2 linked regions of the Lonchura striata genome follow. The protein of the gene in region 1 interacts with the protein of each later gene in a biochemical or structural test. Links are inferred from orthologs where the notes say so. Each region holds a gene or a part of one and is shown in the gene's direction. Other genes may lie near its edges.

Region 1 (11,919 bases):
GGTTTTCTTACCATACACTTGTATGCAATCTGAAAAAAATGTATGCCTCACAATTACCCACAACTGGACTGCTGGAACAGTGCACACTTTCATTTCTCTCTATAAAAGTGAGCTGAGGAGTCAGCCTTGCTGGACATGCATCCAGGAACTGTGGGTTCTAGCAATTCCAAGTTTCTTTTTTTTTTTTTTTTTTCTATTTTCATAATACTTAGTGTTTTCCATGTTATTCCTGTTTCTGTGAACTTCATTCCATTATTAAACTTTGCCTTCTTTTCAGTGCTGGTATAGGAAGAACTGGATGTTTTATTGCCACATCCATTGGTTGTCAGCAGTTAAAGGAAGAGGGAGTTGTAGATGCATTGAGCATTGTCTGCCAGCTACGAGTGGATCGGTGAGTTCCAAAAGAACAACAAATCAGTCAATGATTCTGAAATCATTACCAAAATGATTTGGTAATGATCAGAAATGATTCTGTAATGATTCTGAAAACATTTCCACAGTTGAATGTTACTTTACATTAAATGGCTGCCATTGCTTGTGATGACTTTTATGATCACATTAACTGAATAATCAAGGTAACATATGTATTTAGGTCCTGAATAAGGAATCATATTGTTTTCTGGGTGAAACTTCCATTGAATGAAATTCCCCTGAAATGACAACCATGTAGTTGCTGGGCACTTGCAACGTATATTTTCCTCCACTAAAATTTTCTGTTTGCTGTCTGCATCATCCCATTGGGACACAAGAGAGGTGAGGCAATCTGGAGACAAGGGATTTTCTTTGAGCCTGGGTTGACAAAGAAATTCAGGCTCACTGAATGTGTAGCTTCTTTGAGCACTGGAGAAAGACAAATCTGGTGCTGTTGCTATTTCCTCAGCTGTGCTGGGGGTCCGTTTGAATTGAGTTGGCAAATTTACCCAGCCTAAGAAAATACCAAGGGATTTGTTCCAGACTTTTCTGAAGTCAGATCAATTCCCTGACTGAATTCACAGCTTGGGAGCAGGAACAGTGTAAGCCAATATTGTTGCAGAGTGCTTTGTTTTGTGAAACCATGGCTGAAGAGGGATTTGTGTTTTACAGGAGGATGTGGGTATTGTGCACAATGGAAACTGTTGGTTGGGTTGTACTTTTCTTTCTTATTCTGCTTGGAAAAACAGGATTTTGTACAAAGCAAATAGACAGGATTGCACCAAGAATAGAGGAATCTCCTCTCCTGCTGTAGGTACAGGTCATAAATTGTTTATTCTCATTGCAAGTATCCTAACTGCTTCTGACATGCATGTCTTCTTTAAATGAAAAAAAAAATACATAGGGTGCAAATGCTGAAAAGGATCTTAGGTTTAATACAGAATTTTTTGTGTTGTGAAGAGCTCTGAAAGGTACTGGAACTGTGAAGTACAGAAAGACCAGAATCCATACAGTTGACTGTGTTTATGGGTCATCTCCCCTGCCTTCCCCTCCCGTATGACTGCATCATACTCAACATTGTAATATGATCTTTACAGGGCAACATGAGCCACTTGGAGTGTAAAATTCTCCAAGGGGAGTTATTGACCTAAAAATCTCAGCAAAAAAATAAGAAGGAATAGCTGAGGGAAAAATGCTTACTCTGTTTTAAATTACCAACTACAAATTTCCAAACCTCTTTTCTGAATAGCTGTCTTATTGAGAAAGGTATGAAGAGTTCTTCCCCATTTTAGTATTTCTATTATGAAAGAATCTTTTTATCATTGCTTTTAAAGCAAACTCTGGTCTTAGCTGCCTCTTTTAATATCCCTATTTCAGACACAAAAAACAATCCAGATTTTCAGCATTATTGACTGACAACACAATTTTGTTGAGAGGATCTGCCTAATGAACTTTCTTTTACATATTAGTATCCTAGATAAATTTGGAAAGAGAATGGAAATCTGGCTATCTACTCAAAATATCGGTCCAGGATGTAAATACAGCCATGGTCTGCATGAGTTTGTAAAAAGACAGACTCACAGGTCTACTCAGCTTGCTTTCATTCCCAGTTCATTTTTTATATTTTGCAACAGAAACAGGAAATATTTGATGTGAGGCATCTTCAAGACTTACTGTGACATCGAGAAACTTTGCACATTCTTAACCTTAAAGGCACATTCTTGGAATGACATCCGATAACTTTGCTCTTGGCTCCTCAGACAGGATGAAAAGAGTTTCCAGTGTGCGTCAATTCATTGTTTAAGTGTTTTGACTAATGGCCTCAGGTTAAAAAAAAATAATCCCAAACCCTGCATCACATTCATTCTGGAGCAGACTGCATGCAGCTGCACTAGCAGCAAGCCAGAGGGCAGGGTAAAGGACCTTTTATACACTCACTGCTACCCAAGCAAAGATGGTCACAGTCCCTGAGCCCTCAGGATACCAGGTTCTGTTTCTTCCAAGCACTAGCCCAAAGAGTCTCAAAGAAGCAGAGAGCCCAGTAGCTCACAGAGTAGCTGGCAGTGAGGACTAGCAAATAGACAAAGGCTGCACATTCACAGGTGCTGTAGCTGTGGCTACATCCCTTCTAGGCACTAGGGACACAGGAGAGGAAACCTCCCTCCTTGAGCAAATTTCCTCCTGAAATGCTCTTCCACACAAACATTTCCACAAACCAATGTCTTGGGATCACAGATAATTCCCTGCTATGAAATGTGAGCCTTGCATAAGAATGAAGTTAAGAAGGACTTGGGATAGGTAAATGAAAAATTGGGCATGAGCTGGCAGTGTACACTTACAGCCCAGAAAGCCAAGTGTACCTTGGACTGCATCTAAAGCCGTGTGGCCAGCAGGTCCATGGAGGGGACTGTGCCCCTCTGCTTTGCTCTGGTGAAACCCTGCCTGGAGAGCTGCATCCAGCTCTGGGCTCCCCAGGACAAAAAAGGCATGGGCCTGCTACAGTGGATCCAGAGAAGGGACATGAAAATGGTTAGAGGGACAGAACACCTCTCCTATGAAGAAAGTCTGAGAGGTGAGACTGTTCATCCTGAAAAAGGATCTGGGGATATGTTTTTGCTGCCTTTCAGTATGAAAGAGGCTTATGGGAAAGACAGAGAAAGCCTTTCTACCAGGGTCTGCAATGATAGGACAAGAGATAATGACTTTAAACTTAGAAAGAGTAAATAGAGATTAGATATTAGGAAGAAATTCTTTACCTTCCTATCCCTAGAAGTATTTAAAGCCAGGTTGGATGGGGTTCTGAACAACCTCATCTTAAGGGAAGGTATCCCTGTCCATGGCAGGGGTTTGGTACTAGGTGGTCTTTAAGATCCCTACCAATCCAAACCATTTTGTGGTACTATGGCTCAGTAAATCCCATGTATAATGGCACTGACAAGGCTAAGTTGTCAAAACCACTGAATAAGACTCATATGCCCTTAAGCTGACAGACATATGGACTGTTAGTCCATACAAGGTTCAGAAGCATCATAACCTCTGAATTGCTAACACAGGTCAGATGCCATGATGCTGGGTTCAGCCCCCATAGTCTTACACACACTTTCCTGGGGTTTTGTGTGTTGCTTCAGCACTGATCACCATCACAAACAGCCTAGTGCAGCCAGAATTGTTTTAACCTGCCCTTTGTAGAAAGTTCTTCTCCCTGGATATGTTCCCTTCCCCCACCCTTCTACACAGCACATCTAACCTGGGAAGTGCACTCCCTTAGAGAACATCTTGGGGGAACATTGATGAGGAAGGCAGGGAGGGAAGCTGTTTGCGAAGGAGCTGCGTGGGCAGAGCAGGATGCAGCAGCAAGGAGGAAGGAAGGAGACTAGGCAGCACAGAAGACTAGAGCAAAGCCCTCCCATCACCTTTAATATCTCGCTTCATCTCCAGGCAGGGGACAAGCACAGAGGAAAGCAGCTGAAGGCAAAAGGCAGCCAAGAGTTGTAAATTTGTGGATGCCTTTGTTGGCAAAGCTATGAGTGTTTCATTTTGGGTTGGGTGGGACCATTTAAGGACCTGTGACTTTATTCCTAGGAATAGCAAAATAGGCTCACCAGAAGATGTTCTATATTTGCATGAGCTCAATGGAGGAACGCAGACCACTGTCACTTGCTTAAAGAAGTAGATACTATTTTAATTATTATTTTCCTGCCATAGCCATTTAGCCATCCAGAAGCACTGAAGAAAATTAAAGGGCCTTGTGGTTGTAGATGACCTTCTCTAATTCTGAAGGACAATGCTTGTTGAGGAAGTTTTACTTACCATTTTTCAAATAGCTTAGTATATCAGTACTATATTTGTTGTTAGGGATCTCATGAGATTTTCAGACCTGCTCCTGCAAGATATCTGGCTCCAACAGTGCTCTGGATCCAAATACCTTGCAAATTTAAATGTTTCAATTAAGATCTAACTGAAGCTAGATGTGATATGTATCTTAATGTCTTCATTCTCACTAAAGCCATTTAGTCTTTCATCATCCCAAAGGGATGCTAGCTAGCTGCTGGCTGCTCCATGGTACACTGAGGATGAACTAAGGGCTTGTTTCTAGAAGCAGAGTAGATAGCTTTGAATACCCTGGCAGATGAGATAACAGGAGTGGAATTAAGTAAACTTGAGGCCTTGCTTCATGAGAAGGGAGACCTCAAGTACCTCAGTATTGACAGAAAGACTCAGTTTAATTTCAGAGCTTAATGATAACACTCCTATCACATCTGCCTCCTGTAAGACATCCCCTTCCTTCCACACTGTAACTGGTACTGGAGATGTGAGACTTGATCCTCATACTTAGACCTGAAAAATTGATTGTTATCAGGTGAATGTATAAAAAGTAAGCATTTCATCCAAGCTGGCTGCAACTAGTTCTTTGTATGGTTAGGTTAAACTCTTTTGCATTGTTGGTGGTGAAATGATTCACCACTGTAAAATTTTGTAGGTGGTGGCTGTTCAGACAGGATGCATTGTAGGCGTTAGAAAGAGGACAGGAAGAGCTGTTCTCTGCACAGGCCATCTGCAGGTCACAGAAGGTTACATTTTTAGTAAAGGACAGAAATGAAAGGCCAGATTCTGTATACTTCCTTGCTCCATCAGTGGTAATGCTGCATCCATGTCTCTGGCCTTCCATGCCCATGTGATTGAGCAAAATTCTCTTTTAACATACTGAATTTGAAATGTAGGTTTTAACACTGTAGATGCCAGATGCTTTCTTCTCTAATTCTTACTCTGATGGAACTGGGAATTTTTCATGTGGGGCATGTGCTGTATGGCATAAGTTATAAGGAATGTAATTCTTCTCTGACAAATATCTTCCACTTACTCAAGCAAACTGTAAGTCAAAAACTAAGAAAGGGCTTGTGTCATCTGGTGGTCATGGGGCTGGCAGGAGCTAGAGGGTATTGCAGTCTTAAGAAATAAGATTTCAGTGCAGTTTTTTTCCTTTCCAGGGGTGGAATGGTTCAGACCAGCGAGCAGTATGAATTTGTGCACCATGCACTGAGTCTGTATGAAAGAAGACTTTCTGCAGAAGCTGTCCAGTGAAGCTGAGGAGGGTAAAACCAAATATCAGTCTCTTGAGGTAATTTATTTCATTACCTACCAGCAGCTTCTTCAAGGCGTTTACTGCAGTAGGAAAGACGGCTTTGAGGCCAGCTTCTGAAAAGATTGTGGACGGTTTGGCAAAAGTACAGAGATTGCTGGACCCTTACTATGTATGAATGTATTGTGAGCTTCCCAAAAATGATTTATAAAGAAGGTACTGTACTGAAACTACACATGGATTTTGTCTATGTATCTAAAGGTGGGTTTAATTCTGTAATGCTGATATCTGCCATATGGAATGTATGTATGTGCTCCTGCTACAGTCAGATGGACATTGGGACTTCTACAGAAGAAATATTTAACAAGTGTATAAAAGCTTTGACGTTTTGCAAACTGTCTTGTGAATGGACTGTCAACTGTACTGTAAAGTGCTATTACTGATTATGTGGTGAGCTTGTTCCTTGGCCACATAATATTCTTGCTGCTAAAATTGCAAGTGTTCAACTATGGATTTAAAAAAGGAGATAATAATTTTTTTTTTAATCTTGCTTTTGAAAATATTCAAAAGCAGTTAATATTTTATATGGAAATATATGTTCTTCATCCTATTAACTATTAAATGTGTACTTACTGTAGGTCTTACAGAGCAGTTGCAGAGCACAATGTCTGTTATTCAGTGTATATGTATTTACCCTAAACTGTTGATTGTCTTAGAACACGCTTCTGCTACAGACCTGAATCCAGTGTATTTGTAAATTGTGTAAGTCATTCTACTTTTAAAAGAAACTTTGTAGCATATATTAAATGGTAAGGATTTTAAATATTTGTCTGTCTTTTGTTAATACAGAAATTTTTGCATATGTTGTTTATCTGGTCTATTTCTTTCAGTAAGAGATAGATACCTTTAGTGATATGGACTCTTCCATGACAGGTTATACAAGAAAGAAAATGCTGCTATGACTGTTTCCTTTATTGCTCAGTAAAAGTTTGTTTTTAAGAGATACACGAAGTTGGCATTATGGCTTACAGCACTGGGAGATCTGTTTACAGGGTGTAATGATTTTTAATGCAGTGATGTTGACTTCGCTTCATACTGCTAATAAACAACCCTAAATATAAAATATTAACTGAAGTGTCTGTTCTTGCCTAGAGTAATTAATGCACATACACTCTTGTACCCCTATAAACAGGCTCAGCCCAGCACAATTTGGTCAGCCTGCACCATGGCTTCTGACCACTTGGGAACCAATCCAGAGGGCACAGGCAATCCCCAGCTGACATGGAGCAAGGTGTACCACCTGATGGGAAGGCAAACCCAGCATCACTTGATTCCTCAGGGGGAGTTTCTGTAAGACTTGCTACAGATGGCAGAGCTTTGCCTCCTCCTCTTTCCCTTCCTCCCCACCCTCCACTTGGCTTTTAGAACTTGTGGAGTTAGAAATATACTGAGATTTTGCTTGATTGTGTAGAGTTACAAAAAATACATGTTTTTTCCTGAATAATATAGAATATACTTAGTCAGCACCTGTAGATTTGTAATAGTTCACATGCAACAAATAACACAAAAGTATGATCCCCTTTCTTTTAGTCTAAAGAAATTCAACAAAATCTCTTTTAATTTCCCAGGTGTTTGAAAACTTCTCTTTTGCTTGTATTTTTCCAAAATAAACCAACTAGTAAAGTGAAGAATCATATTAAAAGGACAAAGTACTGTAAAACCCCCCTAAACAATTGAATAGAAGGAAGTGCTCGTCACTGACTTTTTCCCCCGTGAAGGCACATTTCCTTCCTAGCCTTCGCTTCACTTATCTGAGGTGGGTTTTTTTAAGAGAAGCATGGGGAGTTGTTAGAGGGAAAATGGATTCTTTATTTCACGTCCTGGTTTCTACCTGTCTTGCCTTGGCATTCTCAGGTAAGTGTCTCTCCCCACTTCCCCTCTGCCAAATTGCTCTTTCTGCCACTGAGCAGAGCCCTCCGGCACAGCCAGTGACTTACAGAAACCAAGTCACCTCTACTCTGGGCTTCGTACCAGAGGAATGAGGGGCAGGGCCAACACAGCCCATTCTGTTTAGATTCCTTTCCAAAGGAAAATAAACTGTCTTCTTCTATGCTGGAGATACATCTTCTTTTTTTAAGATCTCCTGATAGACAATCCAGGAGCTGAGTTTTTGGGATAAATGCTTCAGACAGGAGATTCCTATCTTTTATTCATACTTCATTAAATTTCAGATACAAGAACTTTCTGTAATGCTTAGCTAGAAAATTACCAGGTCTGTAAAAACAGGGGAATGACAACATCAATTGAGGGAAATAAATGCACATTTGGTTTAGCACTTTGTAACTAATGGGGCTGGAAATGTCTGAGTAACTGCGACTAAAAACAACGAACAACCTAAACACAATATGGCAAGGAGGCTGCATTTGAAATAACCAATTCTGCATTCTGTTACAAGTATGTGTTTTGCATTGGTAGCTTTGTGGGGTTTTGATTAATGCTCTGTAATTTTCTTCATTTGAGTAGCTGGTGTTGATCTTTAAGTGTGGTGACACAGAGAGCTAATCTTACGTGAATTGGAATCGTCACAAAGCTAACAGCTATAGAGACATTGGAATAAATCCAGTAAAACAGATGTGCTTCCTATCAGTAAAGAACCCCCATTCCTGTAACACAGACATTGAGAGACACATAGATCTGTGAATATCCTCCTATATGTTTCCCTTAGAAACATTATGAACTTTACTAAAACAACTTTTAGGCAGGAAATTATATTTTTAAAAGTCTGTGTTGTAAAACTGAAACAGAGACTGAGAATGCATGTAGATCTGTTTGCTTTCCAGCAGGGGAAATGAGGAACTGATGTTTGAAGTTAATAATTCTTGGACTTCTTTTATATCCAGTTTAATTTTTTCTTATTTTTATATATAATGCATGTCAAGAGAACCTTGCCACAATAGCTTGGGGTTTTGCATTTTTCTTATTTACATTACCAGCACATGCATCACATAAGTGTTGTGTTTGGAAGGTTTTTTAAAATAGGTTCAACTTATGGGAAATTTCATTAAATGTTCAACACACAGAAAATGGGAAGAAAGATTTATTTGCTCAGTTATTTTAAATCATTGAGAATTTGCTTTTTGTCAAGTAAAAGTGTAAATCAATCATATTTTTCTGGAATTTTCTTTTTCCAGAAGGGTTTCTGATTATCCATGTCCAGAAACAGCAGTGTCTTTCAGAAAAGAGAGGAGTCATTATGGAAAAGTGCAATATGACCAGCCTGAATCAGAAGTGGCAGTGGATGGCAGATGACAGGCTCCTCCATGTGAAGTCTGCCCAGTGCCTGAGCATCTCTACACGCCCTGCTCTGTCATCTCGCAGTGTCATCATTGATTGTCCCCAGGCAGTCAGGTGGAATTGCCACGAGGATGGGCTCCTGAAGGTGGCCAACAGCTCCCTTTTCCTCACAAAACAAGGTCAGAAGGTAATGGCCAAGCGGAGTAAAAAATACCTTCATACGTGGATGCAGCTAAAAGCCAGCGAGACAGGAAAACCTGTTTATGTAAATCTGTGCTCAAAGCAAGGTGAGTTTTTCCTTCAAGAAAATATCCTGGGAGTTTTGGTAACAAAAATGTCTGTTATGCTAACTCAAATGTGAAAAATTATGATATTTTATTCATACAGAAGAATGTTTTTCACAGTTGAAAAACATTTTGAGAACTATTAAAGAACAGCTGAGACTAGTGCTGTCTTTCTCACAACTGTTGTTTTTAATCCACTTTATATTTTTAGGATGTCTCTCCTTTTGTCTACTCCCAATCTTTGGATCAATGTGCTTATATATGTAACCTCAGGTCACTAACATTGTGTCATTTCCTTTTTCCATTTCTAAACTATGGGTGCTGATTCCTAGTACTTTTCAAAAATGTGGATGCAAAGAAGTTCTCCTCCCCATTCATTTTATCATACAAATCCAGATTCAATCTGTCAAGGGCAAGAAGACATCTGAAAATCCAACACATGCACAATTATTTCTCTGATTAACCTAAATGCATAATTCGAACAGTCATGGCTAGCACATTTGCATGTTTATTCAGTGTAATTTTGATCTTAGATGCCATATATATGAGAACACTCAAAATCTTGAGATTAATGAGTTGAACAAAAAGTCTCAGAAATTCTTGGAATAGTACCTTGAAATGCAAAGGTCTGTGCACATATCTACAGACATGTAGCAGTATATCTGTGTAGTTGTGGGTTACTATATCCATGGCAAAATGGAAGGTACAGTGGTTTGAATATTGCTTGATAATGCTTTCTTCAATGTCCCATTGTCAATCCTTCCTGGCAAACTTGTTAATACTGTTCTTGTGCACTACTAAGTAATTCTTCATAGTAAATAAGAACAACCTACAGGCATCTTTTTACTGTCAATTCTTGTCTTTACAGGGTTAAAAATCAGTTTTGTGACTTAAAACTGTTGCATATGTTCAAGTTTTAAGAATGTTTAAACCAAATCCTCATCCTTTCTGAACTCCTAGTTATTGTAAGGCAGAGTATAATTTTTTTCAGCAAATTTGCACTTGAAGAACTCTATTCATAGGACCAGGACTACTCATCTGAGTGGATGTATGAAAGGATAGCTTGCAGAATCGGGAAATGAAAAAGTGTCCATGATGCCATCCCAGCCCTCCCATATATGTTAGAAATTAAACAGGCAAAATCATTTTAAGTCCCTGGGGGTGTGTATGGCTTGCATATTCAAAGACACTAGGAACAGTTCAGATGAGGTGCACAGGTAGTGTGCTGGATGGAGTGTGGCCTAACCAAGTTAAAGTAACCTTACACACTTTTCTTAATCATCCTAAGAGAAGAAGCAATTTAAGACCAATAAGCACTAAGACAATTGTCATGGCATATTAAAGCACCTTCTCATCTGTTTACTGTTCTCAGTTCTTAAATTAATTTACCTTGATTTTCCTGAAATTCTCTCCATATTCAGGCCTGCAAATCCTTTCTAAGAGTGTTACTTGCCTTATTTTTGACAGGTCTGGGAAGTTCTGCTGAAAAATCAACAAAACACTATAATCCTCAATACCTAACTAAGAATTTTAGGAATATAGGAATATAAAGTGGAAGCAGTGCAAAGAGATTAATTTTTCAAATAGTAGTAAGTACTATGAGAGCAATATCTAATACCCCCAATTCTGATCATAGCATCCATATGCATGTCAAAATCTTCAATGCTAAATGTGTAACGTTAGTCTTCCAAGAACATCTATCTGCTTTCAATACAAGCAGAAGTGGATCTGCCTAAAATAACATATTTGGTCTATATTTATCTAGTATAGAAAAAAATGAACAAAATCTTTGGAGTTTTTCTACTCCTGACTAAGACCACATTTTGTTATAATTTACCCTCTATTTTCACAGTACTCATAAAAAGAGTTTTATTTTGGCATAGGACTAGCTTACTGAATTGCATCTCAAACATCACCCAGATAGAGTACAAGCTCCAAAACCAATAGCTGCAAGTACCTTTTATTCTGGACCTTACTCAAATATCAAACATTATTTTTCTGAGCCTGGGGAAAGTCTGAGCTTGGATTTGGATTTCAAATCAGCCATCTGAGATGTGTTTGGATTTACATGTTTTGTAACAGTCCTGATCTAAATGACTGTTTGTGGAAACCAGGATCAATTTGGGAATGTAGCCCATCTCTGCTCACTCAGAGGTAATTCCAAATCTAGCAGGAAACAGTCCTTCTCACACAAAATCAAGTTTGAATCACTCTCTAATTGAAACAGCTAAAATGAAGAATGGTCATAAAGCAACAGAGAAAGTGAGACTTCATTTCCCACCAAATTCATGAAGACATTCTGGGCAGAGAGAGAAAAATCTCTGTAATGCTAAAGCCTGCTTTTCACCAGCCCACTGTTGGGTTCAGAGCTTCTAAGCTCAGAAACCAGGAATAGAAACAGGCAAGAGGAAAAGATGGGGCAGGTGAAGAGATAGAGTCAGGATGACTGAAAAGAACAAAGAATGTTGCATGTAAATAACACTTGTGGAACAAATACCCACCATTAATGCTGACAGACTAACACTGATGTCACTCCTAAAGTGCATAAGCAATTCTTACAAGCTTTTGTTCTGGGTAGGTTAATTTCAATAAAATATCCAACTAAGAACAGATGCAATGCTATGTGGCACCTTGAATATTACCAGCAAACCTCAAAACCACTGCTGGGCAAAGATTAATTCACTAAGTAGGGAATTACTTCAAATGAGTAGACACAAGGCCAAGCTGTATGCTGCAGCTATGCACTGAGCTCTAGAGACTGTCACACAGGCTGTAGAGCAGTCTGGATACAGCAGGTGACACTACCTGTTTTGTAATATGATGTTCTTCATTGCATTTCTCTTATATCAT
Region 2 (12,029 bases), about 6.9 Mb from region 1:
GGAACTTCACTGGAGCCTTTTATTACCTCTCCGCTTATTTCTCTACTTTTGTGTCCTTTTAGAAGAAAAATACCTTGCTTGAAAAAACATGAGTGAAAAAAGTATAATCTTTTGACGTGGAAGTTTCTGGTTGAGTTTAAAGATTAGTCTTTTATTAGAATATCTCAACTACTGAGCAACCAATTTGCATCAGTCCCATGAGAATTCTTTACATTAAGTTTATAGTCATTTTTAGTTGAGAAGATTAAAGACTTTTTTGGAGTTCAAAAAAAAAGATTTTATTGGATGAAAATTAGGACATAGTCCTTTTTATTATTTTCTTCCAGGTGAAAATTGTTCTAAATCCATTTGTACACAGGAACACGCATACATGCCTCTATCTATCTCAATATCATCTCTCTCTATATCATCTATCTGTATCTGTATCTGTATCTGTATCTGTATCTGTATCTGTATCTGTATCTATCTGTATCTGTATCTGTTTCAGGTTGTAGCCTTTTCATTAGCACTAGCAGGCATGTGACAGATTTCTGTGTCCCTCATGTTGTAGCTGTAGGGCTAAAGCATTCTTTTCAGCATCTACATTGTCACATAAAGGCTCACCATGGCATCCACACAATGCCTAATCTTATCAGGACACAAGGAAAGAACAGCTGTAGTACAACTTTTGAAGCCAATAAAGATGAGGTTAGGCTACCTAAAACAGGATATTAAGAAAACAAAGATACAGAGAAAATGTGATATTTAAGCAGGGCTGTTCTGCTTAATAAGAATTAAAACTAAGTGAAGATGGTGGTAGTCTTTGGTGATAAATTTTGATGCTGTTCCAATACATCATTTTGATACACCTTATCTCCTGTACTGGTGATCAACGGGCAAATGTGTCAGCAAGCAGTAAGCTTGGCTGTGTCTTTATTGCTGAGCTAATATATTGGTTATTTTAGACACTTGAACAGCAAGATCTTCTCAGAATAGTTTTCCAAGCACTGCAGCATTCCAGCCTTGACACAGACATGCCGATATGCCCCAGCTGAAGACAATGGCAGTGACAAAGAAGCCACCCGCTACTAACCTTGATGGTAACTAACAGCAGAGATAACAGTGGACATACAATTTTTAGCACTAATCTTTCTCCTGTTTCCTCCCACAATCAGGCAGGGCTGTATTGGCTTCTGTATCTTGTCCTGTCAGGCAGATTTCAGATAAGATTTAGGAAAAGGAGGTTAAATCCCACATTGCTAATAAGCAATGACTAGCAGGCTAGTGCAAATACAATTGTACTAGAAGTCCAAGGCATCTGCCACACCTTAGGGGAAAGCATCTGGTATTAGTGCTAAGTATATAATACACAGGCACCTCCTTTGACTAAGTTTTCCATCAGAAATTCTCCTTCTAGAAGAGCTTCTTAAAATATCATCAAAGAATTGTTTAATACTGTTCAGAAAACTGGAGCATGCTGTAGCCTCTACAGATATTCTGAACCCTGCTGTAAAGAAATTCCTTTTCTTTGAAGTAAATTATTTCTTTATTTTTGTATGGCTGATGAATATTTTATTTTAAAAAGCAAATAAAAAGTGACATAGAAATATGCATTATATATAACCCACACTAAATGATGCTGAAAGAACACAAAAAATCGAGTCCAAAGTAAAGATGTTATGTTTGTATTGTTACTGAATTTTGAATGAAGTGACTTTCTTTGAAATAGGTGTATTTTCTTTTGAAAACCTTACACTGCAGCATGATTTCAATAGCAGAAAGTGCTTAAAAGAAGTTATCAAGACAGATACTAAGCTTCATATCTCTCACAGTCCATGTGTAACTGTGCAAGCCACGTCAGTCATTTTTATTTTCAACAACAGTAGATGTGCTCTTTATTCTCCATTCAACCAGCTTGAAGTGCCAGTTTCAGGCCTGACTTTAGGTAATCTTATCTACCTTCTCCCTTGCCTATAAATAATATGGAAAATGTTTAGCATTTCTGAAAAAAACAGGGCATCTAGCCTCTGAGATATTTGCAATTTATTTAGTAATTTCCCTATGTCATTTTGTATCTTAAATGCATATACTGAAATGAAGATACTAAAATCTTGTCATACCTGTATTTTTGGAAGAAAGGTTTTGAAGATGGGAACCTTGGAGAACATCAGGAAATGCACTCATGGTCACAATGAAAAAAGAAGAGGAATTCTAACTTAGCACCACTTAGCTGCAAATTATTCCTGAATCAGTTGATTGTTTCAGACACAAAGAAGTATTACAGAGATGCTGTATTACATATATTCACTTTTTATAGTGAATGAGACATGAATTCTTAGAAGAAAACCACCAAAGCCCTTGCAAAATTCTAATGCATAAGATTAGGGTGAGAAAAAAGATTAGGTTGAGAAAATGATGGTAACACAATACCTCTTAAAGACTTGTAACAGCAATAAGTACTAGTACTCTTTTTCCATAATATTTATGCAAATATTCACATATAAAACTGAAATATCTCCCCTGTATATGAAACGGTCAGTAAAGTGCAGAATTTTATGCTCATGAGATGATGGTCTATCACCTGGGTTAAGTGCACAACTATGGGCATCAACAGTAATCAATAGAATCAACATCATGTGTGAGAAATGGCTGATACAGGGCCACAAAATCTACTTTGTAAAAATGTTTGGTTTGGTTTTGTCCTTTGCTTTGCAGTGAGAAGCCTGTGTCTATGCATCTTGCTATATGCATCCATGGAATATGGACTGGACTGGTGAGAGATTGTACTTTTGACTCTGCAGAGAATCTGAGCAATTTCTGCTTCTCTGAAGTTGCGCATGAGTTGCCTGTGCTGTGGTATCCTGGTAATAGCTCATAAAGAAAAGTATTTAAAGCAAAAGCTAATATTTTCATTTGTGGGTAGATTGACAGATCTGCCTGCTGAGAGGAAAATCTAATTTTATATTCACCCAACCCATGACACAGGTGACTGCTTCTTAAACAAACTCCAGTGCATCTTACAACAGCAACCTAATGACCAAAGTTGGACCGGTATTCAGAGCATATGGTACCAGTCAGTGATCAACAGATTGTAAATATATTATCACGATGTCATCCTCTTAATTTCTCTCCTGCTCCAGTTCTTTGTCAGATATTAATGTTTTTGTTTGTACAGAAAAACCTGTCTGAGCTCTAAGCTACTTTTTTTTTTTTGCCAGACCTCAAGTTCTTAATCTCTTCTGAGAAGGGATATAGGGACAGTATTCCCATTACAAGAATGGCTAAAAAAGTTGTTTCCCATTTCAAGTATTGAATTTTATCCTTTAGCATCCTCGAAAATGTCTGAATCATTTTCCAGACACATTTGATTCATGAAAGAGATCAGGCATAGGAAATAATAGCCTCAATGATTAAACTTCAAGGTATTGAGAATAAACTCATATGATACAGAATCTAATTTCAACCTTAAGTCTTTGCCGTATGTTCTATTTTAAGCTCTATAATTAAAATTACCTTCCTGATATGTTTCATTCACTCTGAAAAGCTTTGAATTCAACAAAAATAGTGTTCAGCTCAGTTAAGTCTGACTCTAAAACTTCCTTTCATGTGAAAATATTTAATATCATGGGAAATATTTTGCAACATTTGGAAGCAATGAAAAGGAACTTGCATGTGTCAATTTCATGGATGACAGGCTTGGGTATAGCCAGAGTTCAAATTATCTCTTCAAATATACATGTGGAATTCAAATAACCATGGATTTTAAAGTGGATTGTTAGCCTTCTTTCAGCAGCATAAGCTACAGCAAGATTCTTCAAAGGAATAGTCTTAATCTATTTTAATACATTGCCCTCAACCAGGTAAGACTCCATAGACAAAGAGTTGAAGAGCAAATTAATTGTTTTTTGTAAAATTTGCAGTTGGAACATGATATTCATTCTCTTTTTTTTTTTTTTTAGTAGTATCCCAAGGCAGCACTGGAGTATGGAGTAACATATGGCCATTCCTGTATGTTTACAAGAAAAGTAATTTTTCAAATAAACAGCCATTAGCAAAAGAATAGAGGCTTCTAATCTCATTAATCCTCTGAAAGATTGCTGGGACTGGGTAGGGGTATATAAAGCTTATGCTGGCCTCTGTCTCCATTTTATTACAATAAGAGAAAGCTGTTGTCCCTGTTTCATTTTCCCTTCCCCCTCCCTCTTCCTCCCATGGTGGATGCTAGGAGTGTTGTAAAAATATTAAGTGAGGTCAGTGGTTGCTGTCCCTCCATAAGTGCTGCAGGCTGAAGCTATGTCTATTTCATCCTTATGTTTGGATCCAAATGACTTTTGACTCTTTCTAGGGAGCAAATTCCTCACTGGAATCAAGTACCCAGGGATGTAGGTATGTATATGAACTAAAATATACATTGATTGTAGGGAAAGTGTTACAGAATAACGAGCAGCTGATGATTATAAATGCACAGCGTGATGAAAGCACTCTGTTTCTGCTTTTAGCATGTCTTCTGTTCCTGTTTTGCTTTACTGACTCCCTGACTCTGGCAAAGGACATTTGAATCAAGCAAAGGGAGAGACAGAGACGTTCTGTGCAGTGCAGAGACACCCACTGGTATATTTAAGTAAAAAAATACCCTGCTTCAAAATGTGTGAGACAGCCATCTTAACTTCTGGCAATGAAATCATTAACTGAAATTACTGAATATTAGGGAGGATCATCCTTCAGAGAGTACTGCAAGTGTTAAATGCACAGTGGCAGATATATAGCAGCCCGTGCTGTACATCAGAGGGGACAGGCCACAGCACTTCTTCACCAACTCGTCCTAGAGCTTTGTGTTTTACAGCTTCTAGCAGCAAATGCAGCCTGAGGCAATGAACAACCAACGCTATTCAGAGCAGTTGTAAGGCTGCTCTAAATCCTAGCAAGGGCTGAAACTATTTTATAGTCCTCACCACAAGAAAGCAGTTAAGGTCTAAAAACTGACGTTTGTGTGAGGTCTGTGCCAGAGATTCAAAGCTCACTAATACTTCAAATGCCTTCTGTTTCATGACTATATACTGTGCCAATATGCATAATCTATCCTGTTTAGCTTAATACACTGTCCAGTCTTTAGTTCCCATTTTTTTCCTGCAGTTTTCCTACCACCCAATTTTCTTGCATATTATCTCTGTCCCTGTTTCTTAGAGAGCACACCAACAGTGCCAGCTCTTCTCCTCTTCTGAATGTTTGTGTATACACACAATTGTCAGTATTGGATTAAGACACAGGAATTAAAGACCCATATCTAAACCTCCAATTCTGGAATGATTAAATGAAAATCTATTGGGTTGGGGTTTTTATGAACCATCTTTTTTATTCTTGAGCAAGCTTCTGATCCATACAGTTGTGAGAGGATGAGCTCACTGAAATTGACATAACCGTATTTGGTGCAATCAGCAAACAGTAAAGCTGCAAAGTCAGTGCTCTCTTGCGTTTTAGAGTTCAAATCCTCTCAGACATGTGAGAACTACCCAAGATGACAGCTGTAAGTGAAGCAGTCCTCCCCTCCTTACTTCACGTGTTGGGGGAATAAAGGAACTGCAGAAACCTGATTTTTCAATAGGGGGAAATGCATGTTGCTTTGGTGTTACTCCATAAGGATTGATCATGAAGAATCAAGGAGTCTCAGGGTCTTGGACTTGCTGAAGTTTTTCACTCTCTGGTCGTTACTGTCATGCAGGTAGTGCAACCTAGTCATGTGTTATTTCTGCTGTGCCTGCTAGTAACTGTCTGATCTGTCACTCTCTGTAAATATAAAGTGTCATGGTTGCAGCTCCTGCTGCCATCAAAAATTGCATTTCATATACAGGGTGAACTCGTGTCTCAAAATATTTAGGTTCCATCTTCTGTCCCTCATGAGCCCTTCCTGCAGCAGTCTTCACAAATTTGGCAGCTCATGAATCTTCTATCCACTATCGTGTCTCCACTTTTCTGGACCTGTTTGCTTTCTACAAGGGGGTATGCAGCAAGCCCCAGATTTATCCTTTTTTTTCCCTCTGGGAGTTTTGATTTCTGCAACTTATAATGTGGAAAACACCATAAGACTTGGGCTCAAGGGACAAATAGATGCTTCAAAAATAAACAGCTAGTCTTTGTGGTAATGAAAAAGAATTAAGAAATACGTTCCTACATAGAAGATGAAAAGTTCAGAAAATAAATTGAGGCTGAAGACAAATCGTGTCATTTCAAAATCATTCTCCTAGTTTGTGAGGGGGGTATGGATTGAAAGTTTGAAGCTGGCCTTGACGAGCACATCCCTCGGGGGCTCCGAGCATCACGACTCCTGCCCAGCTGCACCCTTGCGGTCTATCCCGCCTCTTTGACGGGGTCCGTGGATGCTGGCGGTTGAGAGCCACGCTCGGGGGTAGGGGCAGCAGCTTAACTCGGGCTTCACCGCCCTTTGGGCATGTGCAGCGTGCACGCCTGTGCCCGCGCGGCTGTGCCTGCATCAGTCGGCGCCTGTGTCTGGGTGTCTGTGAGTCCGTGTGTCTCTGCGAGCGCAGCAGCCGGTGCCGCGCAGGCTGCCTGGACAGCGCGGGCAGCCGTTCCACCTGCAGGCACGTGTCACGGCCCGCGGGACGGGCGCGGACGGAGGGATGCCGAGCCCCCTTCGCCCCCGGCCCCGATCACCTCCGCGCCTCCCGCTCTGCAGGGGTCCCTCTCATCCCGGCTGCCGGCCGGGGCGCGCCCCGGCCGCGGGGCACCCCTCGCGCCGCTGTCGCCGCGCGGTTCCACCGCGCTCTCCGCCCGCGCCCCGGGGACGGGGCTCACGAGCACCCGCTCCCGCTCGCGCCCGCTCCGCCTCACCGCCCCGCTCGCGCGCGCTCCCGCCCGCTCGCGCGCGCACGAGTGACATCACCCCCGTCCAATCAGCCGCCGCCGCTCCCGCGCCCCGCTCGGCCCCGCTCGGCCCCGGCGGCCCCGCGCGCGGCCGGGGCGGGGGCGCGCGGGCGGCTGTCAGCGCTGCCGAGCCGGGCAAGGACGCGCCGAGCCGAGCCGAGCCAGCCGCGCCGGCCGGGCAGCGCCGGCCCAGACGTGCCCGGTGCGCGGCGGAGGTGCGGACGGCGCGGGGTGACAGCCCGGCCGTGCGGCAGGTAGGGCAGGGCTCGCTCGGCCCCCGCAGCGCAGCGCGGTCCCGCGTTCGAGCGGCACGGACGCAGCGGCGCGCGGCCCCCGGCACCGCGCGGTCCTAGGGACGGGGACCGCCCGGGAGGGTCCCCTCAGCGGCGGGGGTCGCTACTCCGGCGGTGCGGCCCGGGGAACGCGGGGAGCTGGGGCAGGTGCGGGGCGGCGGGGCAGCCCAGAGCCCGCCACGGCCCCGCGTGGGAGCGCTGCTTTGCGGCGGCCGGGGGCGGCGGCCCTTTCCCGGCCCGGGAAGCGGGGCGGGCACGGGGAAGCCGCCCTCTCCCGGGGCGCCTGCCCGCTGGGCAGGGGATTACTCGGCACCCCGGGCTGCCGAAAGCGGGCCGCCCGCCCCGGGTAATCCCCGGCGAGTGCTGTCCCCGCCGGTCGTGGGCTCGGGGGGGGATGCTGGCTGGCGAGGGAGCGGGATGCTGCCGCAGGGAAAGCCTCGTGCGCGGTTTCCCCTCCGTTTCCTACGGCACACGTATGGATTTTGGCAGCGCGTGTGAAAACGCGTCCCTGCCGTGGTCTTCCAGCGCATCATTTCAGCACCACGGTCTGTGTGCCGGAGCAGCCGCAGCCTTGCGCCGTACGCCGATTTATCTGCGTGTTGGGTGTGTTTAGTGGTGTCGGCCTGAAAAGGGTGTTGGTTTTTGGTTTGGCTTTTTTTTTTTTTCCTCTTTTCAGTGCACCTTCTTGCAGTAAAAATGATAGCGTTTCACTTTGTTGTCTCCTTGTAAAATGCTAATAATGCCTTTTTTTCAGTGCGGCGTTTCCGTAAATGTCAGTAATTCGGAGCGGCTGCAGTAACCTGCTGGCGAGGGCAGAGATGCCATTGCTGGGCTCCGCTAAAGGCACCTGGAAGGGCTGAGCCTGCCCCGGGGTGCCGCGCCCGAGCTGCACCTCGGCTCTTTCGGAATTGCAGCTGCTCTATGAAGCGCTGTTTAATTCTGTTTATGAAATCTACGGGAGATTATCTATGAAATTAATCAACTATGCTCCATTTAGTAATGAAAGTAAAGTGTGACCTCTGAGCTGGGAATGTTTTCGAGTGTTACATTCTAGCATAGTCATAGTTACATAACAGTATTATAATACAGTTATGTTAAAGCACATTAAAAAGGGTTTGTTAACGTTTAAAAAATAAGCCATTATGTAATTATTAGGCTGCACAATTTAGGGAAAAATACGCCTTTAAAATTCAGCCACCTGTGCAGCGGTAGCTGTATCAAAGAAGTTACTAACAAATATATTACTTAGTTTCACTCTTTTATATAGTATTACTTGTAAACCACTAAAAGTCATGAGCACAGGCCTTGAAATTACGTAAAACAGGGGAAGCTTTCTGAAATAACTTGAAGTTATAAAAATTCGCAGTTTTTTTTAATCTATGATTAGTTACTTCTGAATGTCCTTGTAGTGCAAATACTGTAAAGATCTCTGTGAAAGGATGATCTTTGGTCCATGTTCTTCTATAAATGATGATGCACCAAAATTTCTTTAATAAGAACTCACCTTAATGTTTCTGAAAACTGTTGGTAGTATTAATCTTTTGTTTGGTCGTTTGCATTCAAATGTATGTTATATGCTATCAGTTGCTTAGTTTTTGTCTTTAGCAATAGTTAACATTATAAAAAAATAGATCTTTACTATCTCTAAATTTTGCAAAAAGTAAAAATAGCCTAGGTAAAACACTTCTGTCCTGGTCTATATTTGTACTATCCACAATGCTGTTCTAAACCAGCAAGAGATTTCCAGTTTCACTTTTAAGTGGTGCTAAAAAGTAATGCAACCTCAACACAACTTCATGGTAAAGCAAGAACCTACTTGAATTTATAGAATTTTAAATTGAGTGTCTGTCTTAAACACCTTTTGTAGAGAAATCCCTTGTTATTAAGGTTATGGAAAAGAGGTTTTAAAGTGCCTTTTGAGCATGTACTTCTTATACAGTCTTAATTACATGATCACATACTATTTTTTTTTCCACTGGAATCCTGTCTTTCACTGCATGGGATAGGTGGAGCTCACTTAAGAGAATTCAGTATTTTTCATTGATCATTGTGTGAGCCCATGATTTATTTATTCAGTGTTACTCAGCTCTGCTTTGAAGACAGAACTGATAACATCTGTGTGATCTTTGCTAAAGGGCTTATCAGTATGTGATCAGAATGCCCTACAAAGTACTAGTAGTTTATCAAACACTACCTAAGGTGAGAGGACACTTCTACAGATGGTGAAGAAAAGCACAAAGAGGGTTAGGTGAAAAGTATTCACTCATTTTTGGTGTCCAGTTTGAAATTTCTATAATTATTTTAAATATGTTTCCTGAAGTTATACCTGCTACTGCTTTTTGTAACAGTCCTGACTGCTCCACTTCTGTGAGTGTATCTGCACAGTAAATGGGGAAAAAGAGGAATTTACAGTTAATTACAAACTATGGAAGTTTTAGGTTAAATGGTTTGCTGGGTGACAGTAAGGGAAACGAGTAAAACTATGATCGAGAGAATGTTAGCCATTAAAGTCTTTGTGGCATATTATACAGCCCCTGTCCCTTTTTCTTTCTGCAAGCTCAGTTCTTCAGTAGATAAAACAAGAGATCCTACCTGCTTTAAGTTCTGTATCATCTTCAGTGGCAAGGTAACTTTGAATAAGAAGCACATGCCTATTTAAGTATATTGTAAAAAACCAAACAAACTCAAGGGAAGTTAATTATGGTTGCACAGACAACAATTTGTCATTTTACACCTTTTGAGTGCTTGATTTAGTAACCATAATAATGTTCTTTTGTATTGTTTGTGAAGTAAAATATGCATACATGTCCCATAAATGTTCTTAAAACCTAGAAAATTAAATTATAGGGAATTAAAAAAAACACAAAACAAAGAAGCCTACAAACAACAAATCAAGAAAAAGATGAAAAATTTCAATTTTTTAAGTAAATTTCTTATTTTTTTACTGTATTGGACCTACAGTGGTTACAAAAAGAATCAGAAAAGTTTAATCCTTTGCAAAAAACTCCTGAACTTTTACCATCATGAGTGATATTATAAGAGTGCAGTCCCTTTTATTTACAGCAGTGATAAAACAGAATAGTGTAACTTGTAGTGTATTTGCTTGGGTAGTGGGAAAGTGGTGCAAGACTGAAGTCCTTTGCACTGTAGGCACCACTGTGTTGTGGTGCATGAGGGCTCTTTTGCTAGACTTCTGCAAGCACAGTCCTTTTCACTTCATCATTTATATGTATCCTAATGACAGCACCTTTGTCATCTTGTAGCTGGTCTCAGTGTTTTAAGTATCTCTGGTCTTGACCATTCCAGATTTTGGTTTCATATCTCATCCAGTCCTGTATCCTTGCTTTTTTCCTGTCAGGTTTCCTTCCATTACCTTTCCCTTATTCCTTGGAGCCTCCTCATCCTGATTTGCTATGTCAGCCCAGTCTAGTCTCTTTTCAGCAGTCTCCAGTCATTTTTTCTGTGCTTTTAGCAGACATTGGTCTCAATTTTTATTCTTCAGAGACTGTAAGGTGGCTTTTGTTCTTTTCCACTGAAACAACACAGTACTTCTTCTTAAAAGTTGGTTGGTCTTTGTTATATTTTCAGAGAAAATGAAAGAGTATAGCATTAACTCAAAGCCTGTCTATGTTGATGGCTTCAAGCCATTGCAGTTTGTGACTACAAACATTTTTTGAAGAAAAATTTTTTGGCTTTTCTTCATTGTTTCTTTTTAAAAATTGAAATCTTAAATTTTTCTATGTGGCTCATGTGTGTTTGATATGCATTGGCAGAAAGCAAGGACACACAGGACACTTTGACAAAGTTGCAAGTAGTAGTAAACTACAGAAATACCAAGCAACCTCAGTAATCCTATTTATGCAGAGAAATCAGCAAATCTGACTGTAGCATCCTGTGTTTTTGCTTAACTCAGCTAAGTTTTGAAGGGCTCTGTGCTGGCAAATAAAATAGCAGATTATTTTGGTTTTGTTTGTATTCATACTAATTTCTTTCATTTTTTCTCAAGGATTTTCTACAACCTCTTGAGACAAATACTTACAAAAAGATGATGTAAACATCTCACTGAATTGAGATCTGGATAAAACTGGTGGAGTTTCCACTGCACCATAGTAGTTTTGTTTACATAAGGTAGTATTTTGGATGTGGTAAAATCATATTTGCAATAACTTAGTAGCTCTTGTGTCTGAAATATGGGATGATCGAGCTATGGTTAGTGCTACAGACAGAATAATTAATGTGATAGAGTGTTTTAAAATGAAGATATAGAAAGATACATATTTGACAAGTCCTATGCTTTTATTTATGTAATGTTTTTATAATTGACACATAGCAGATAGATTATATGTTGGTCCCATGCAAATGAGTTAGCTTGGAGACAGAGATCAGGATTAGTCATCAGATAAGTGATCTTTTTATAGCTTTATTGGAAACATCCTATTTTACTATAGACAGTTAAATTTTCTCCAGTTCATCAAGAGCTGAACAGAAGTGTTACTATTAGTCATTCCTAGTTAAGCCAGTAGTCGAGTTGTTAGACATGGACTTGAATTTACTGCTGCATTAGAGTCACATGAAATTGGTTTTCTTTTCCATAAAATATAAGTAATGCACTTCAGCTTACCAGGTGCTAAATTAAATTTGTTTGTAAAAATCAAAGAGGGATGTTTATATGTTCAGTCAAGCATTGGAACTGGTTACTTAGAGAAGTTGTGCACTTTCTCTCCTTGAAATCTTTCAAGACTGAAAAAATAAAGCCCCCAGTAACCTGACCAAATGTCTTAGCTTACAGCAGGAGGTTGGGCTGTAAACCTCCTGATATCCCTTACAATATGAATTATCCTGTGACATCCCTTATTCTGACTTCTCTTACAGCATGAA

The links.
Region 2: the proteins of PTPRB (region 1) and CNTN1 form a complex in vitro, tested with the Homo sapiens proteins (2 studies listed by BioGRID). The link is inferred for Lonchura striata from reciprocal best matches to the Homo sapiens genes PTPRB and CNTN1.

Annotation. Positions count from the first base shown.
Region 1 is NC_134607.1:45,025,541-45,037,459, reverse strand, and holds the start of PTPRB (receptor-type tyrosine-protein phosphatase beta), read left to right. Parts: upstream 1-6,721; 5' UTR 6,722-7,350; coding exon 7,351-7,405; intron 7,406-8,682; coding exon 8,683-9,072; intron 9,073-11,919. Other genes in the region: PTPRR (receptor-type tyrosine-protein phosphatase R), read left to right, coding at 278-391, 5,400-5,493. UniProt on the Homo sapiens protein: Plays an important role in blood vessel remodeling and angiogenesis. Not necessary for the initial formation of blood vessels, but is essential for their maintenance and remodeling. Can induce dephosphorylation of TEK/TIE2, CDH5/VE-cadherin and KDR/VEGFR-2.
Region 2 is NC_134607.1:38,101,128-38,113,156, forward strand, and holds the start of CNTN1 (contactin-1), read left to right. Parts: upstream 1-6,994; 5' UTR 6,995-7,112; intron 7,113-12,029. UniProt on the Homo sapiens protein: Contactins mediate cell surface interactions during nervous system development.